Oryza sativa Japonica Group: one gene and its partner. The protein of the gene in region 1 binds, or shares a complex with, the protein of each later gene. Links are inferred from orthologs where the notes say so. Each region holds a gene or a part of one and is shown in the gene's direction. Other genes may lie near its edges.

Region 1 (5,093 bases):
TGACTTCCGTATCAAGCCTCCGAGTCCATGTCTTATGTCTAGTCCTTCGCTATCTAAGTACTTTCCAGTCACCCCATTAGGCAAGCAATCAAGCATCTTCCAGAACACAAACCATATCTACTGACATTACTTTTTTTCTTTTACTCGAGTAGCATAATTGCACTAGCATATACTGGGACATGTACCATTTGCTCCGAGGAGGCACAGGCAGCTGGTACTGCTGCTGCATCGGGTACTGATTCCTCACTGATTACCGGCATTACCGGCCGACAGTTCTTTTCAGATCTGACGACCATAAGAAAAATAAGAAGAAAAAAAAAAGCACGCTTGATCGATCGGTCGTACACATCCAATGTGATACTCCTACTAGCTCAGAATTAGCGCAAAAGACGTCTACAAGACCACCCAAATTTGCACAAATCAGTTCGCAACAGGTCGACTAATATTGGTCCCAGCTCGCAACCGACAGCAACACTGTCCTTCAGAACAAAGCCAGCTTTGAATCCTGTTGTTTTGGAGGTAAACAGGTGTCTTCGTCTCTCGGTGCTGGGGCCTTGCGTTTATGGACAAACGGGGTCACTCATGCTGTCCAGGTCCCGGGTTGGCACGAAAAGAAGATTGATGCAACCGTGCACACAGTTCTACCCACTGATTGGAACGGTGAGCCTTCTAATGATGTACCAGTACAATATTTCACCACATCTTTTGTCTGATTCATTCAAGAGCTGAGAGCCACGACGAACACGGCACAGGGGATCCATCCAATCACTACTACTGATCCCTGTGGACGAATTATTGAGTATCACATTCAGAGGTCGCGAAGTGATGCGATGTATACAGGGGATCTAGCAGAAGCGGCCACAGTTCACTAGAGTTAAAGCAGGTTAAGTGGTATTTGGATCAGGGACAACTTTAGTCCCTATCATATCGGATCAATTTGGAGTATTAAACATATACTACTTATAAAGCTAATTACATAAATGAGAACTAATTCGCGTGACAAATTTTTTAAGACTAATTAATTCATAATTAGCACATGTTTACTGTAGCATCACATATGCTAATCATAGATTAATTAGGCTTAATAGATTCGTGTCGTAAATTAGTCTAGAGTTATAGAATGGATTTTATTAATAGTCTACGTTTAATATTTATAATTAGCATCCAAACATCCGATGTGATAGGCACTAAAAGTTTTAATTCCTATCTAAACAAGGTCTTAACTTCAGGACATGGACAGGATGAGGTACGTATACTGTTTTGGAAAAGGTCACCTTCCCAGCTACAAGACACAAACCATGCTCGTCCACAAATAAGCTCTTCCTAAGGAATTTTCGGATGAACTTATGGACGGGAATGCTTCGCCTGTTACTCTCGGAGAAAAGAGACGTCCATTTCATTTCCATATGAAACGGAAACAACTTGATAAGAGTTGAAAAACACAGCCCAAGCAGAGCATACAAATTCTCTTAGCTATATCTGCAGCTAAAAAGAAAAAGAATAAAAACAGAACGAAAATATCTTGCGCATCCCATATTCCAAAGTAAAACATGCATACCGTGTTAAGAAATGGTTACTAACAACGTGTGTAAGATATGATAATAATAATTTGGTTAATTTGTATATTTAAGTGTCTGTTAATGTGATTTCTCTTTTCTGAATCTGAATAGAAGTTCCGAGTTCGTTCATAAAACACATCCAGTGAGTGAAAAGGCCCATGATGTCAAGCACTGTTAAACATCGGCCCAAAAAGCCCATGTCAACCAACATCGCGAGCATCGCGATCCTTTTCTGGGCTTCCGGCCCATTGTAGGCTGTAGGCTTGCATTGCCGTGGCGGCGGCTGCGCTGCGCCTCCGTGTTCCTCGAGACCGGCCGAACCCGCGCCGGATTTGGGCAGGTTTTACTAGGGTTTTTGCCGATCCGCTTCCCTTCCGCCGCGCCACCCTCTACTCTACCCTACTCCTCCCGCTTCCTCCGCGCCTACCTGCGTGCTCGCGAGGCCGCCCGCCATGAGGGACCTCCAGCTCTCGCTGAACCAGACCCAGAGGGTGCGCCTCGAGGCCGCGCTCCACGAGCTCCAGACCGTCGCCCCCGCCGCCGCCGTCACCGTCGCGGACACCATCCCCGTCAACGACGAGGACAACATTCTCAAGTGAGAGCTAGGCACTTCCCCCCTTGTCTCTCCCCCCCCCCCCTCCCAATCTCGTATTAGCTTTCGTGTGTGGCGGCAGTACGGCTGGACTGATGGGGGGTTTCTCGTTTTCCTCTCTCTCTCTGCGCGCAGGGGGCATGGGACGTCGGATCAGGACGGGGAGGTGGTGGCGACGCTGTGCGGCGTGGTGGAGCGGGTCAACAAGCTGGTGTACGTGCGGACGCTTAGGGCGAGGTACTCAAGCTCTAACCTTCCTCGGATTCACTGACGTATCATAGAATCAATTTTCCAGCGGTTTTACCCGTTTCTTATGAACCTTGAAAAGCGGTTCATTTGCGTGCTCCTTTATTGGATAACTCTGGCAGAACAATGGTATTTTCCCTGGGCGTTTTGTTATAGGACTAGCTTCCGAGATGAGAGCGGGGTTTATGTTATTGTACCGAGTCCAGTAGTAGATTTTGTGGGGTGGATGTTGATGGACTGATGGAGTATATGTAGAATGGGGATTATGGATTCAATTTCGAAGCACTCAGGCAGTGGTAACAACTTGTGATATACTGTGCTGCAGCTGGATTTGTTCTGAGCCTGTAATTTGCACCAAATCAAACCATAGATTTGATATATTTTGGCTGTGGAAATGATTGGTACAGACCATTACAACTTCTTTATGAATTCATTAAAAGTTTGCTACCATGGAAGAGACATACTTTGAATTACTTTACAAGTTCGTAATGAGTTCTGCTACCAAAATACAATGTCCTAGCTACTTTTATTTAAAACTATTTGGTTTCTGGTTTTGAATGTCTGGACAATCTGAATGTAAGAATTGCTCGTGTGATTTCTGTTGGTGGAGAGGAAGCGAGGGGAGCTTCATCTGAATGAGCGTGTCAATTCTTAGTCCATTTTCTCTCTGACCTTTTTAGGTATAAGCCGGAGGTTGGTGATATCATAGTTGGCCGTGTTATTGAGGTACTGACAATTATGCTTTATGGCACCCTTTGGACATTCTTCTTACTGATTTTGGTCCATGAATATCATTTTAGGGATAAAAACTTCATTTTGCTGGATATGATTATTTAGTTAAAAGTTGCTAGAATTTCTTAGTATTTTGACAGTCCTGATAATATATGCATAAATTGGAGTAAGGTAGTTTTGGTAAATCTGGTTTAATATTATAGTCACATCTTCACAAAATCAGCTACTGCTATCTTTATTATTATGTCAGTTCAACATCCATGTTATGCAAATCTATTAAAAAAGATAAATAACCTACTGTCGTGATTTTTGTTTCTCAAGATTGCACCTAAACGCTGGAGGTTGGAGATAAATTTTAGCCAAGATGCTGTTTTGATGCTTTCTTCTATGAATTTACCCGATGGAATTCAGGTACAGTTTTCTCATTTTTTTGTACCTTAAAGCTTATAATATCCAAAGTTTGTGGGATGTCAGATGGCTGAACACAGCTACATCTTCCTGTTATACCAGTCTGGAAAATAAATGATATGGAGTACTACAACAAAGGATATTTCACGCATTCAGCATTCGTTGAAGCACCTTTTCTAGTCTCCTTAGTTATCTTAAAACACTGAATTCATTGAAAGCCATTCTGTTTCACTTAGAAGTTTAGCTTTTGCATTGTTGAAAGATGAAAGATGACTATTCCATTTAAAATTTTGAATTATACTTTAATGAAAACTATTCTATTTCACTTGGAGATATAAAGCATAGAAGCACTGCTCAAGATCAGCATTGTATTTGAATAAAAACACCAACTGAACCAATTTTCATGTAAATGACCAAAGAAAATACAAGTTTGAAGAAACATGGTGGCATGTTACGTGCTAGTGCGTCAGGGTCAATGCTGTCTATCCACTAGCGTCACTCTAGCTGGGTGTCCATTGAATAGATGGCACCATATAAACACTATGGCCACATAGAAATGATTCATTTTACTGTTTTGGAAAATTATACACTATGATGACATCGTTGGAATGTTGCTTGACAGTTTACATATTTTGTCATGTTCAAAGAAACAAATGATGGACACTGTTATTTTATTACAAATTTCATTATTTATTTTCTCGTTTTTCTCTAGTATTCTAGTTAATGCATTTTCCCTGTCCCCATTGTTAGAGAAGGAGAACTGCTGTCGATGAACTTAATATGCGGACAATTTTTGAAGAAAATGATGTTATCTGTGTAAGTATTGTACTTATCCTTTCTCTCTGAAGGTAGAAGGACTAACTTGTTTGGTGCTGGAATGGGTTTTAATTTTGATAGGGGTTTTGACTTAGGCCACGCAATAGATGTGCACTTGAGTATCTGCCATTCCGTAGAAGGTATGATAATATGCCTCTCAATAGACACACATAATGATGATCCGCGTTCTACCCCTTCTAGATCGGCCTGGAGGGAAGCATGCAAACCAAATGGTGATAGTGGCAAATCATCAAGTGTGCGTGTGCATTGACTATTGGGTAGCAGATTATCAGTTACTTTCTGTTGAGTGGTAAATCCACACCTATTGAGTGGCAAACAGTCTCAACCTGCTCATTTAATGCACTTAATTCATCATCTATCAAAACCATTTTTTACCAACTGTTTATGCTAGTCGCCTATGTATCTATATTTTGATTAGCACCAAACATCCATGAATAATGCAGCAGTTCAACTTGGCACATTTTTCTGAACATTTTTTTTTTCTGTGAATGCATTAGTTAGTTCTGGAGAAATTTCTTCCACTCTTAAGGCATTTTGCTTGCAGATTACAAAAGGATGCCTGAATCAAGCATTTTGTATTTTGTTTACTATTTTTTGTTTGTGAGGTCAAATTTCAATGTCCCATACTTCTTTATCTATTATTCTAGCCTAGGGACTTGGTCATATTTGAAATCGAATTTCCCATTTATATTTCTACATTTTGTCATAGATACTAATTT
Region 2 (5,093 bases), on another chromosome or scaffold:
TGTAAAACATATGATTTGAAAATACAGGAATTTCATAGGAACGGAGGATGTCAAGATGAACCATGGGAAAACAGGAAACGATGATATGTGCAAAGCTGATTAGAGAGTTAACCATAGTCTTATCCTAAATAATAGCACTAAATAATAAAAAGAAGAAGCCTAATGATGCTCAAGCCTTACATTAGTGGCATCATGGCTTCATTTGCCTCGATCCTACGCAATGGGAACGCAAACAAAGAGGTTTGACTGGATTTTTTTTCCCTGCAGTTTTCCTATGAAATTACCACCGTAGGAAAGTTTCCTCTATTTTTCCTAAATAAGAATCCTCCGTTCCGAATGCATAAACAGTACTAATTTCTATAGGAATCGAAATCCTCCATTTTTCCTCCATGAATCCCTCGAATCCCTCGATCCGAACAAGCCCTAAATAGGTCCTAAGCTTGCATATAATAAAGAAAAGCGCAACATTAGTATAAAAGAGCTACAGCATTCTTTTTTCTTTGTTTTTATGAATCCAACGAATCTAGATGCAATTTTATGCTTATAGTTATAGGGATCATAAATTTGGACATTGGTGTTAGAATATTGTTTGTCTGGAGAAAGAAAAGAAACCAAAATATGAGCAATTGGATATTGATCTAGTGTTGACAAAAAGTGAACGATAGGTAAGAAAAAAAAATCATTCAATTGACAAATAGACACAGCCTATGAAATATATTGGCACAAGTTGTTTGTTAATCGGCAACCTCAGCCCTGCTTTGAAACGTAAATCGGTGTAAATTACCGTCAAATTTTTGCCTCGGCTAAAAACAACTCTTTTGCTACCACTCAGAGTTTCACTCTAAATGTGAGTGGACCTCACATTGACAAATTATTGTCCATGCCACTTAGGCCTTGTTTGTTTCAACTTCAGATTATTGTAATCTAGACTATTGAGTCAGATTACTGTAAACCGACATATAATAAGATGTTAGCTGTTTGTTTCTCTAGATTATTAGCTGTTAGCCACCCAATAATCTAAAAAAAGCACCTTTAGAGTGTGTCGACGGTGGATACCCGTAGACCAGATATAGAGGGTATTGGGGTACGTTGGTACGAGGATCTATGTAGTACGACATCAAACAAGCATAAAACAAAGATTATACTGGTTCAGGCCCCTTGATAGGTAATAGCCCTAATCCAGTTGATATGGGATTATATGATGGAAACCACAGATTACAAAAGGAATAGCGGAACTCGATGATACCGACGAGACCGTAGTCGAGTTGGTTCGACTAGATCACCCGGCGGCTTGGCTCCCGTAGGCTCCGACTTCGTAGGCTGAGGTGGATGTGTCAGCGGTGAAATTCAATGCCTTAGGTCCTTCCGGGGGGTCCCTTTTAGATCGCGGGTTAGTTATCCTCCAAGCTGGACTCGGAAGTACCGGACCCCTCACGATATAGTAACGACCCAGTCTTGCCTGAGTAGGATTTCTTCCACATGCGGATTCTGCTTCTATCATGTGATAGATTTCCTTAACGTGTACAAGAAACATTCGTATACGCGCAGATATACCGTATCGGTATACAACATATATCCAAGTGTAGAGGGTATATCTTATCCGTAACCCTGACAGAGTGGATTACCAGATTATAGTAATATGGCTTATAGATTATAATAACATATCATAATAAGCTATCTGTTTGTTTCAACTTATTCATAATAATCTAGATTATAATAATTCTAAGCTGAATCAAACCGGGGCTTAACCCTCGAGCTATCACTTCCCCACTCGTGCTCCTCCCCAAACTTGAGGAAAGGAAAGAGGTTGGGACTAGGTGAGGTAGCTACTTACATGTGCGTTTTTTATTTCTTTTTATATAAGATGCCATGTCAGAAAAACTAACCAACTATATTATTATATTATCATAGGACCTGATTTGTTCTGTCTTGCTAAGATTAGGGACGATGATTTCTGGTATTGCGACTTAAGGTTATCAATTAAACTCGATGTAAAAATGAGAGGAATGTTAAATGGGCTACCACTGAGAGAGTTTCACCCTAAATTTGGGCCAGGTGAGTAGGCCACACATGGACAAATTATTGGGCCTCCATGCCTCTTAGCCCTCGACGTCTCACTGCCTCGCTCGCCCCCCTCCACTCTCCGCCGCCGCCGCGCCAACCTCCGAGCTCTGCTCCCCAGAAGACGAGGCGAGCCACGAGCTCATCGCCGGCGGCGGAAACCCCTCGCTGTCTCGTCAACAGAGGCTAGGAGAGAGAGGTAGAGCTCCTCCGGCGATGGAGTACGTGAACCCTCTCACCGGCTTCCGCGTCGACGGCCGGCGCCCCAACGAGGTGACCCCTACCCTCTTCTCCTCCATCCTCTTTCCAGTTTCCCCTCCACTTGTTCAATCGCAGGCATGGCTTACACGGGCTGGGTATCACGCAGATGCGGCAGCTCAAGGGCGAGGTGGGCGTCGTCGCCAGGGCAGACGGGTGAGGAGATGCTCCGACGACAATGGAATCAGAACTATCCCATTGTAGTTTCGTTGCTGGTGTTGTTCTGTTTGTGCTGTGTAATTTGTGATTGTTCGTTTGCGCAGATCGGCGCTGTTCGAGATGGGCAACACCAGGGTCATTGCCGCTGTCTACGGCCCTCGAGAGGTTGCTGCTCACCCTGATTACTGTGATTTCTCATGCATTAGACGATAGATAGGCCATGTACATGAAATGTTTGATGAATCGTCCCTGTGGAATTTACTTTCATGCCTATGTTATACCTCAACAAAACAGACCAACTTTTTGCAGTGCTTTTTCAGAATGCATGATGAAATGTCTTGATGGTTAATAAAATTGATTAATGCTTTTTTTTTGGGGGAAAAGCAGTTAAGTCTAACATGTCTGAGGACTCAAAACCATTAGGATGAATTTTGCGGTAAAACATGTGGTTATGGTTCCTCAGCGAGACATTGTATATTGTAAGTTGGAAGTTCTTGCTTTCTTTGCTAAGGGCTTGTTCGGTTAATCTCCAAGAAGGCCAAGAGGGAGGGATTGAGGGGGAGGTGTGGAATTTATCCCCTTCAATCCCCTTATTGGTGGGATTAGCCGAACATGGCCTAAAGGGATGCGCCTGATCCCTCCAGCAGTTCTTCATTGTGTTGCTCTGCTATTGCTTTCTCATATCCTTTTTTCTCCCCCACCTTAGAAAGGCATGGTTAGTCAAAAGGTTAACTAATTGTTATCTCATGATTTTTTTTTTGTACTTTTGGGCTCATTCAGGTCCAGAACAAAGGTCAGCAAGTCAACAGCAAAGATGCTTTGGTAATGTTTCATTTGTCCACACACATTCAGCATCAAAACTCTTCTGTAGGATGCATCCCTAAGAAATGTGTCTGCAGGTGCGTTGTGAGTATAGGATGGCAGATTTTAGTACTGGGGATCGAAGGAGAAAGCCAAAGGGTGACAGGTACATTTCAGCTTGAAGAACAAAATTTGATAAAAAAAATTAAACCCATTTGTTTATAGTAATGGATTGTTTTTTATTAGTTAGATTTGGATAAAAGTAACAGAACTGTCTGCTGGCGTTGCAGCAAGTAATGGGCATGTTGGTTTTGCTACCATTTCCAATGCTACCAAAATTTGCCAAGATAAAAAAGCCCAAATATCCCAATGTCTTTTCATAAGAAAATTTGATTTACGGTAGAAATTTCCTCACTGAACAGGCGAACATCACAGTAAATGGCCTAATTTTGGTAGTGCCAAGTTTTGGCAAGGTTGATTTTGGCATCAAAGCAAACATGCCCAATTTTTTTTGTTATGTTTGAATCTGTTTTCACACAAGTGTTCTCTAATCAAATAGTGTGTGTCAAAGGAACCTTTGGGACCTCTAGCATATCAGATCTTGCAATTAAATCAGTTCTAATTTGAATTGCATAAACATGTACTTAATGTCCCATTTTACAAAACTGTAGTAGCAAGCTAGACCATTAATGCTGCAATCATGTGACAGGCGATCAACAGAAATTTCACTTGTTATCCGGCAAACAATGGAGGCAAGCATTTTAACACATTTAATGCCACGTTCACAGGTGAGTTCCTTGGATTCAGTAACTTCAAGGAACTTGCGTTTTTAATGGTATCCTGATCCACTGTCAATGTTTATTATGCTTACAGATTGATATATTTGTCCAAGTTCTTCAAGCTGATGGTGGTGAGTGCACTTTCACATCTTTTTAGCTCCGATGTCCAATCTATATGCCTTGGAGATTCTGTCCATTATTTATGACATAATTCTTTTTTTTCCTTTGACAAACCAAAGCAATACAAGGCTATCTTGTGTCCAGAAAAGAGGCTGATTAAATCTGTACTTTGCTAAACGACGATACATACACTTGCAATGCCTACCAATTCCAATGTGTTCTTTTTTGTTGCTTAGTCCAGCTACAACATATTTGCCTACTTATGAAATATTTTGGCTCGGCTCTCCAAATGGTTTTGATTTCTGACACATCTTGAACATGGTTGTGTACTTAACAGGTACAAGGGCTGCATGCATCAATGCTGCTACATTAGCACTTGCAGATGCTGGGATTCCCATGCGAGACATTGTTACATCTTGCAGTGCTGGTTATCTGTGTTCTACTCCTTTGCTTGGTATGACATTATTATATATTCTATCTCTAGAAAGAATCATCTAGCATTGAGAAACCTCAATCATTTTAATATGCTATTTCAGATCTGAATTATATAGAAGACAGTGCTGGAGGTCCAGATGTCACTGTTGGCTTTCTTACAAAGATGGACAAAGTTACTCTTCTGCAGGTCACAAAATATCATGATTTACTTTTTGATTGCTGCAAGTTTTTGAATTCTCCTAGTTCTTTCATCTATACACACAAACAGCACAACCACAATTCCTCATACAATGTGCTCTCTTCTGAAACACTTCTTGTGCTATTTGTATACTAAAGGGCATCTTTTTTTGTAAGACTTCTAGTTATTCACTCAAAGCAGGACTAATGCTTAAAAGGTAATTTTCAGATGGATGCAAAATTACCAATGGATACATTTGAAACTGTAATGGACCTTGCAATTGAAGGCTGCAAAGCTATCGC

Evidence for each region. Proteins that work in one complex are often made in the same cells at the same time.
Region 2: exosome complex component RRP4 homolog (region 1) and exosome complex component RRP41 homolog share a complex: the UniProt entries of both Arabidopsis thaliana proteins name them as parts of the RNA exosome complex. The link is inferred for Oryza sativa Japonica Group from reciprocal best matches to the Arabidopsis thaliana genes RRP4 and RRP41.

Annotation. Positions count from the first base shown.
Region 1 is NC_089038.1:26,540,809-26,545,901, reverse strand, and holds the start of exosome complex component RRP4 homolog, read left to right. Parts: upstream 1-1,857; 5' UTR 1,858-2,011; coding exon 2,012-2,154; intron 2,155-2,286; coding exon 2,287-2,388; intron 2,389-3,077; coding exon 3,078-3,123; intron 3,124-3,450; coding exon 3,451-3,540; intron 3,541-4,287; coding exon 4,288-4,353; intron 4,354-5,093. UniProt on the Arabidopsis thaliana protein: Non-catalytic component of the RNA exosome complex which has 3'->5' exoribonuclease activity and participates in a multitude of cellular RNA processing, maturation and degradation events.
Region 2 is NC_089043.1:8,304,384-8,309,476, forward strand, and holds the start of exosome complex component RRP41 homolog, read left to right. Parts: upstream 1-2,128; 5' UTR 2,129-2,277; coding exon 2,278-2,334; intron 2,335-2,428; coding exon 2,429-2,475; intron 2,476-2,582; coding exon 2,583-2,643; intron 2,644-3,258; coding exon 3,259-3,300; intron 3,301-3,377; coding exon 3,378-3,445; intron 3,446-3,988; coding exon 3,989-4,067; intron 4,068-4,152; coding exon 4,153-4,189; intron 4,190-4,515; coding exon 4,516-4,632; intron 4,633-4,714; coding exon 4,715-4,800; intron 4,801-5,019; coding exon 5,020-5,093. UniProt on the Arabidopsis thaliana protein: Non-catalytic component of the RNA exosome complex which has 3'->5' exoribonuclease activity and participates in a multitude of cellular RNA processing, maturation and degradation events.